Linked DNA regions of Sus scrofa. The protein of the gene in region 1 interacts with the protein of each later gene in a pairwise test. Links are inferred from orthologs where the notes say so. Each region holds a gene or a part of one and is shown in the gene's direction. Other genes may lie near its edges.

What was found.
Region 2: the proteins of LYAR (region 1) and PRKRA interact in binary tests that used the Homo sapiens proteins (3 or more experiments, as listed by UniProt). The two-hybrid records come from large-scale screens. The link is inferred for Sus scrofa from reciprocal best matches to the Homo sapiens genes LYAR and PRKRA.

Annotation. Positions count from the first base shown.
Region 1 is NC_010450.4:6,079,865-6,084,257, forward strand, and holds the start of LYAR (cell growth-regulating nucleolar protein), read left to right. Parts: upstream 1-1,467; 5' UTR 1,468-1,632; intron 1,633-4,393. UniProt on the Homo sapiens protein: Plays a role in the maintenance of the appropriate processing of 47S/45S pre-rRNA to 32S/30S pre-rRNAs and their subsequent processing to produce 18S and 28S rRNAs. Also acts at the level of transcription regulation.
Region 2 is NC_010457.5:84,153,499-84,157,859, reverse strand, and holds the start of PRKRA (interferon-inducible double-stranded RNA-dependent protein kinase activator A), read left to right. Parts: upstream 1-1,263; 5' UTR 1,264-1,477; coding exon 1,478-1,542; intron 1,543-2,103; coding exon 2,104-2,273; intron 2,274-4,361. UniProt on the Homo sapiens protein: Activates EIF2AK2/PKR in the absence of double-stranded RNA (dsRNA), leading to phosphorylation of EIF2S1/EFI2-alpha and inhibition of translation and induction of apoptosis.

The DNA of each region.
Region 1 (4,393 bases):
AGTTCCCGTCGTGGCTCAGTGGTTAACGAATCCGACTAGGAACCATGAGGTTGTGGGTTTGATCCCTGGCCTTGCTCAATGAGGTTAAGGATCTGGCGTTGCCATGAGCTGTGGTGTAGGTTGCAGGGCAGCTCCCCAACCAGTCAGTCAGTCACTCCGGGTGGCCTTGCTGTGGCTCTGGCATAGGCTGGCGGCTACACTCTAATTGGACCCCTAGCCTGGGAACCTCCATATGCCGCGGGAGCGGCCCAAGAAATGGCAAAAAGACAAAAAAAAAAAAAAAGAAGAAGAAATCTGGACGCAGCCACCAAGAAACCAAGGATGGGCATATAGGTAGAAGGGACCACGTAAGAATGCAGCCAGAAAGCGGGCATCCAGGGGCCAACAAGAGGCACCCTCAGAAGGAACCAAACCTGCTGACACCTTGCTCTTGGACTTCTAGTTCCCACAGTGTGCGAAAATAAATGCATTTTGTTCAAGCTCCCCCCGCCCCCGCCCACCCCACCCTCCGGCCAGGCTATGGTATTTTGTGATGGTGGCCCTCGCATACATTCTTACACCCTCCGTTCCAGGCCCAACACTGCGCACCTCCAGAGCGACACCCTCCTTAGGGCTAATGCTTCTCACGATTCCCTGTTTACACCCCGTTCAACTTTCATTCATCATTTAAGCAGCTCACAACTTGGGCAACCACTGCTGTGCGCCGGGCCTGTCTCCAGGGCTAAGAAGAGCAGCCAAGCGATGAAGCGGCAGGCGCTCTACTGAGTGCTTTAGGTTCACCAACTCATGAAATCCTACAAGAACCGCACGAAGGAGGTACTCTTACTACACCTGTTTTAGAGACGCGGGACCGCGGCACAGAGAAGTCGCATGGCAGTGAGACCCGGCCGGGCGCTCCGTAGTCTCAGCACTACTCTCAAGTGCACTGCGATGGAAGGAGCCGGGAGTCGGTCGGGAAGGGACCCGCAGCTTCCCGCGGGCGCAGCCCCGGCGGCCGGGAGCAACGAGCGGGAGGAGGCCGGGTGGGAACGCGGGTGGGGCTTCCAGGCCGAGGGAGCTGCAAGGGGGGTAGGGCCCCGCTCCAGGACCCTGACTCGGCCTTGGCGTTTCTGAGTTAGAGCACGGCGCGGCCGCAGGCTAATTCCCGCGCGACCCGGCAGCTGCACTGACTCTCGCGCTGCCCCAGGATGCGCGAGGGGCGGCGGGTCCCTGCCCTGCCCGGCCCTGAGGCGCCCAGCCGGACTCCGAAACGCTCCCACAGCGCCGGCCCTGCAAGCCCTCGCGAGGCCGGCCTCCCGACCCGGCGCCCACCTTACCCTCGGAGGCCGCTGCCCGCCCCGCCGCCTCCTCTTCACCTGCGGCCGCCGCCCTCAGCGCAGCTCGCGGGGCAACGCCGGCAGCGGAACCATCCCGACAACGCCCCCTCCGCCGCCGGCCCCGCCCTCCGGCTTCCGGTGGCGTCACTTCCGCTAAGGGGGTGTGGCCGCGGCGCGCAAGCGCGGGAGGTTTCAGAAGCGAATTCTGCGCGGGGAAGCTCGAGCGGGAGGTGGCAGCTCTGCTGGGCGGGCGGCGGCGGCGATTCCACGTGCTCCCCGCGGCCGGTTGAAACCGTTGGCGGGCGCTGGCTGAGAGGTAAGGGGCGGTGTCCCAGAGTCCGACCTAGGAGGCTGGGGCTCAGAGGTTGGGGCAGGGGGTGAGCCGCGGCCGATGCCTGCGTCTCCACGGTTAAGAGCCCCTCTTGGCTTGCACGCATGGAAGGAGGAAATGCGTTCAGATCTTTCTCTTATTCTGGGAAAATGAAAGGAGCCCTGGACTTAGAATGGCCAGTTCCTCTGGGTTTTAAAATGGAAAGGTTCTCATGCTGCGAATCCACAGAGGGGGTTCCAACCAGGATGGTTGATCCCCACCGAACTGGGCTGCAGGCTTGCCACCTGTTGGAGAGAAGGCGCTTTTCTTCTTTTAGTCTTGGGGAGCCCAGTCCCCGAGGAGGAGGCCTTAGGGCATAGTGGTTGAGGGCACGGACTTAGGGCCCGTTCGCTGCATGGGAATCCAGATTTGCCACTAACTGGATGCGTGACCATCTGCAAGTTAGTGAACCTGGTCTGTCGGAAGGAAGTAGTATAGACCTAACTCAGGACTTGTGAGGATTACATGAGCACAAACAGCAGGGGTTGGAACATAGTAGATGCCCAATAAATGCCAGGATTTTCTGCAGCGCCTGCCTCTGAGGACACCTTAGGGGAATGAGGTGGGGTGTGGGTATTTGCCAGGCTGCTTTTCTTACAGAGGGCCCACCAGGGACTTCCTGGCCCATCGTCTCCAGTCCCCCAGTGCCTAGCTTAGGGCTTGAAACGGGTAGGGTTCCACAGAGTTACTATACCCCAGTGAAGGAAGGCTCTTTAAATCAGTGCTGGTGATGTAGTGTGTGGGAGGGTATGAGATTGGAACTTGTAGGTAGAGAGACAGGGCTTGATTTCTTACAGCCTCATTTAGGTCATCTGCGAAGTGGAGATGCGTGAGTTTTTGCAAAGAGCAAGGGAGTGTTAAGTGCAGTCCAGACCCTCGTTACCCCACGTTCGTTCTGGGATTTAGGCGTGAAGATGGATGTTTTGTACTTGTCTCTTCTTTCCTTCCAACACATCCTTGCTGTTCCAAGAATGGAATACCAGATGGGGGATGAGAGAACTGAAGTTCAGCGGGGACAGTGACTAGCTCAAGGTCAGGGTGCTCACTGGGGGCTCTTGACAGCTTAGCCCCTTAGGTGGGCTGTTTTGGTGGTGATGGTAGCCATGGGGCTTGGGTCTGCATATGAAAGAAGGTTTTAAGAATAGTTCCTTTTTTTTTTTTTTTTTTTTTGTCTTTTTGTCTTTTTTGTTGTTGTTGTTGTTGCTATTTCTTGGGCCGCTCCCGCGGCATATGGAGGTTCCCAGGCTAGGGGTTGAATCGGAGCTGTAGCCACCGGCCTACACCAGAGCCACAGCAACGCGGGATCCGAGCCACGTCTGCAACCTACACCACAGCTCACGGCAACGCCGGATGGTTAACCCACTGAGCAGGGGCAGGGACCGAACCCGCAACCTCATGATTCCTAGTCGGATTCGTTAACCACTGTGCCACGACGGGAACTCCTTTTTTTTTTTTTTTTTAACTTGCTAAAAAAATATGTAGGGAGGAAGTTTTAAAAAACCATTCCGAATCCAATCCCAGAACCAAACTTGAGCTCCTGTGATTAGGGAACAGAGTCCTAGTGAGGCCTCCATGGGGTGGGGAGCCAGAGGAGACTGGAGTGAGTTTATGAAGATAAATGGGTGGGTTGAGGGTCATATTTAAAGAAGCATGAGTTTGGAGGGGACTGGGAGCAATGTCAGTGATGGGCACATTAATAGATCACAAGAAATTCTACCACTGGGTAAGGAGGAATCCTTCGCATCTGATATTTAACTTTTCCACACCAGGCTCTTAAGATAGACATGAGACCCATTTTCAGATAAACAGATTCTGCAAAGTCTGGGTAGCTTGAAGTCGTTTCATTTTTAATGGGCAGATGTGGGCTTCAGCTCAGGTCCTCTGGCCCAGGCCCAGGTCAGCAGAATGTGGCCACCATCTCGATGAGAGGAGATTGAGGGGCCCGGATTGCTTTGCAAGCTCCCAGCCGCACACTGATGCTGTCTGCTGCCCGTCAGCTCAGTACTGCTGTCCAGTAGCTGCCATCCTTTGCTGTAACACGTGTGGTCTCCTTGCCCAGGGTGGCCTGGCCCTAGGATAAAGACTTAGGGTGCTAGTGTTTTTAAATGAAAGGTCAAGACATATAAGACACCCGAGCCCAGGAGACAGGGTTCTCAAACGTCTTAATGCCGCATCTTTCCAGCTTTTCTAACAAATACGCATTTATCAAGAAACATCATCATTGAACGTTTGATTAAATTCATCCCACATTTATTTAGTCCTTTGAATGAGTTGAGTCTTTGGTTTTAGGCAATGCCAGCAGTCTTCAATTGGAGGGATTGCTTTGTAATTGTGTAGCCTTTCCACTTCTGAAATCGTTAAGCCTGCCCCAAGACTTGCCACACCCTGTCTACTGTGCCCTTAGGGTGGGTTTGAGCTGGCTCTAGTTTATAGCCCCTCCCTCCCACCACAGACTCAAGTATTTCCCCCCCTGGGCTGGATAAGCTCCTGACAGACCTGATCTTCTTAGCGGGCGGGCGGGAGGCCACCCTGCCCCTCTTCGAGATCAAGTATAAAAACGCAGCCCTGGCTCCGAGAATCCAGAGGAAGGCACTGTGAGACTGGGCTCTGACTCTCTGCGAGCCACCCATTCTACCTTAAAAAAATAAACCAACAGATTTCTAAATGTGAACATCTGCCACAAAAGACCAAGTGAGAGGGTTGGAGG
Region 2 (4,361 bases), on another chromosome or scaffold:
AGCCACCGGCCTACGCCAGAGCCACAGCAACGCGAGATCCAAGCCGCATCTGCAACCTATACCACAGCTCACGGCAACGCCGATCCTTAACCCACTGAGCAAAGGCAGGGACCGAACCCGCAACCTCATGGTTCCTAGTCGGATTCGTTAACCACTGCGCCACGACGGGAACTCCTAGGCTTGTTTTTTAGGAATTTTACGGCTAAAAATAAATTTTAGAAACAAATCTGAGTCCTGGAATTATGTATTGCCATAGCTATGTGGATATTAACATATTCTGAAGTAGTGGCTATATGGTACCTTCAATAAGACATTCATTAAAACATAACAATGGATAGTAATAGATATACATCTATAGAGGGAAGAGGGAGGGAAGAAAAAACAGACTTGTTTCAAGCCTCAAGTAATATAAATCACTTTGATTAGATCCGGATTTTTTTTCTTTGCTTTCAAGTATCCAGGGTTCGAGAGTTAACAAAAGTTTCCAAAAATGTCTCTTCGTGTGATCAGTATTGTGCCAGGCAATCCAGCAGAACGAGAAAGTACAAGGGGTTATTTCTGCAAGCAAAACCCCTAGCAGCGATAGGACATCTCATGTAGCTGAGTCCCATCAAAGGTGGTGCATCCCAGGCAAACGCCATTACAAGCAACACAGGTGTGCAGAAGCAGCAGTTAATTGGAATTGGGTTCAAAGAAAAGCCTTCGTTTACACCTAAGGTGTCTTGCTGGGACCCGCTATCCTAGCACTCAGCAGTCGACGAAGACAATGAAGCCCACCCCGGGTGAAAAAAGTGGGTCTCCCTACGTCTCCACGATCACCTAATGGCAGGCTTCAGCGACAGGACGAGCCCACCCGCAGCCTTCAGGAGCCGATATACTGCAAGTCTCACGTTTCGGGCCCAGACCGGGGCAGGCTCTCTGGCAATTTTGCATTTGAAATTTTGAAATCATTTTCTTAAAGTGACGCAATCGTCCTCTTCCCCCCCTCCCACCCACCCCTTCAAAAAAAAGGCTGAGCTGCAGGCCTCACAGACTGAAGCTTGCAAGCCCGCGGACTAGCCTCTCTAGGCAGGAAACAGCCTCCTTTTAAGGACACAGAACTGCGGTCTCCTCAAGCCGCTGGGCAGAAGGCGGGGCACCGTCTGCAGCTGAGGACTGCTGGGGCTGCGGGGAGGGCGGGGAGGGCACTAGAGAGCCTGGAGAGCAGGTGGGCGGGGCTGGCGAGGAGCTCCGCCAGAGCTGGGGCAGCAGGGGGCGTGGCCGGGAACGGAGAACGGGGAACCGTGCTCTTGCACGGAGGCTCCACCCCCGCCCGTCCCCCGGAGGGACGCAAGAGGGGAGGAGAAGGGGTGTCGGAGGAGGGGAGGAGGTGGCGGCGTCGGCGCCGGATCGCTTCTCTCGGGGACCGGCCGACCCGTGAGCGAGAACGTAGCTCCGCACTGCTCTTCCTCCCGCTGGAAAACCGTCCCTTCTCACCATGTCTCAAAGCAGGCATCGCGCTGCGGCTCCGCCGCTGGAGCGCGAGGACAGCGGGACCTTCAGGTCAGTGCCCTGGCGGTCGGGACCGAGCCGGGAAAGGCCAGGAGTGGTGGGCAGGAGAGGAGGGGGCGGGGGAGCCGGCTATCCAGCGGCATTCTGGGTAAAGCCCCTTCCTGGCGCTCGCGTCCGGGCTGCTGCTGCTGGAGCGGAGGCTAGCTCTCGGCCCCGCCCTCTTGGCGCGCTGGCCGGGGTCTCCAGCAGGGCCCAGCCCCGCCCCTCCTGTGACCTCGGGCTGCGCGGGGTGGGCGGAGGTAGCACGCGGCAACCCCGGTGGGTTTTGTCGGCTTGGTACTGGAGATTGCAACTCCCGTGCGTGCCTCCCGATTTCCTTGCTACTCCCTTCTACCCGCATTCAAGTTATCTCCCTAAAGACCTCCGTCCCCCTGCCCTCTGCCCGCCGCGGCGGGGTCCGGAGGCTTGGTAAGCCTCTCCAGTCTGGCCCTGGCCGACGGGCAGCTTCGGTGCCTTCGGCGTCACCATTAGGGGCTGTTAAAACTAGTCTCAATGCTTCTATTTCCCTCCCCGTTTTGACGTGCAAAGCACAGCTTTTTCTGGTTTTTGCAGTTTGGGGAAGATGATTACAGCTAAGCCGGGGAAAACACCAATTCAGGTATTACATGAATACGGCATGAAGACCAAGAACATCCCGGTTTATGAATGTGAAAGATCCGATGTGCAAATACACGTGCCCACTTTCACCTTCAGAGTAACCGTTGGTGACATAACCTGCACAGGTCTGTATGCACAGTTAACCCTGATGACCCTGTAGGTTGGCTGTCAAGAGCTGGTATTGCTTCTCTGTTCCCGAAAAGTGTCCTAGAGACATCATTGAGGAGCAGGCTCTTGAAACTGGGACCTTTCCCGGATCATTGGGACGTTTCAACTTCTCTGATTCCCTAATTTTCTCTTCCCTAGATACTAAGAGAAGCTCAGAAACATACCCTGGAACCCTCCTAGGGTTCTTCCAAGAATTAGGTAGAAGCGGGAAAGATTCTTGGAGCAGGCATAGCTGAATTAGTAGATAGTGTCAAGTTTCTTAGGTTATAGCAGATGGCAGAGGGCATGACCTCAGAATTTTCTGAGCTGCTCCCCTCTGTTTGGACTCATTTGGCACTTTGGACCCATTGTACCATGCTGGACTCTATCTAAGCAAGCAACAAGCAACTACAATGTTGTGTGGCAGTTTCTAGTTCTTGACACTGTACAAGTTTTTTAAATAAGATGTTATCTCCCTTTTTTTTTTTTACAGTTGAGGAAATCTGTTCAGAGAGATTATAAGAAACATGCCCAAGGTCACATAGTAGTGAAGTTTCAAGATTCAGATTCACCTATGGTCATTGAGCTAGAGCAAATAATAACTGAAGTAGCCCATTTGCACCTGTAGACATTTTATTTCTTATGTATTTAATTGCAAACACAAAAAATATTGATTACTAAATTTAATTTGGAAGAATGCCAAGGAAAATATTCAACAGGAAGGCTGAAGTTCCACCATCTGGTAATCTGAAGGCATCATTTGTTTGTGTCCCCGTTATTTTCAATTGAAGCCACGTTAAAAAAAAAAATTCAGGATCTTTTTTGTCTGTGTGGGGCAGGTGGATTGTAGCTAGATTTTAGCTAGAAGATTCCTCACAGGAATCATAGAATAAGCATTGCATTACTGCTTTAGCTGGTCTATTTGTAAATGTTGGATGAAAATTCAAGAAAAAGTAGCTCTCCCCCTCCCCCCCCCCCCCCCCCGAGGTTAACAACCTATGGCAACTGCTCAGCCCTCCTACTCTTCTCACACTGCCCTGTCTTCCTGTGTAAGCTTATCTGTCTATGGCTTCAAATACTACCTAAAGGCTGATAATTCTGAAATCTGTCTTCAGCTCAGGCCCAGGTACAGAACAGTGTAGCAGCCTGTGCTTGCTAGACATTTTCACTTGGATGACCCAAAGACACCTCAGTCTCTCACTGACTCAAAATGAATCCATCTTCTCTTTCAAACCCATTTCCCCTGCACTCCCCAGCACAATAGAAGCACCTTTCATCACCCATTTGCTCGAAGTAGAAATTTGAGTTTCATCTTCTTGATCCTTTCCCTTCCCTCCTCTTGTTTCCCAGTCTGCCACCAAACCCTACTTCCTAAATATCTCTCTTTTTTTTTTTTTTTGGCTTTTTAGGGCCATGCCCATGGCATATGCAGGTTCCCAGGATAGGGGTTGAATCAGATCTGTAGTTGCCAGCCTACACCAGAGTCACAGCAACGCCAGATCTGTGCTGCATCTGCAGCCTACACCACAGCTCACGGCAACGCCAGATCCTTAACCCACTGAACAAGGACAGGGATCAAACCCGCAACCTCATGGATTCATTAACCACTGAGCCACAACGGGAACACCCCCTAAATATATCTTGAATCTGCCTGCTTCTCTCATCTTCACATTGCTACTGTCCAAGCCACTTGGATTATAGTTACAGTCTCAAAGCTGCTCGTTTAGCTTCTAGTCTTGTGTCCATTTTCCACATAAAAACCATAGTGTTCTTTCTGGCATTCATATCTTTTCATATACTTCCTCTTCTTAAAATCCATTCTGTTTTTCACATCACCCTCTGGATGATTACAGATTTCTTAATGTGACTGACAATCTTACTTCTCAAAGTGTGAATAACAACAGCAGCATTGATTTCATCTGAGTATTTGAAGGGAGTGCAGAATATCAGACCCCAGCCTAGACCTACTAGATCAGAACATGCCTTCTAACGAAATTCCCAGGCAGATTCTGAAGTTTGAGAGGTACAAATTTAGGAGATCACTCTTTGACCTCTCCTACCCTTCA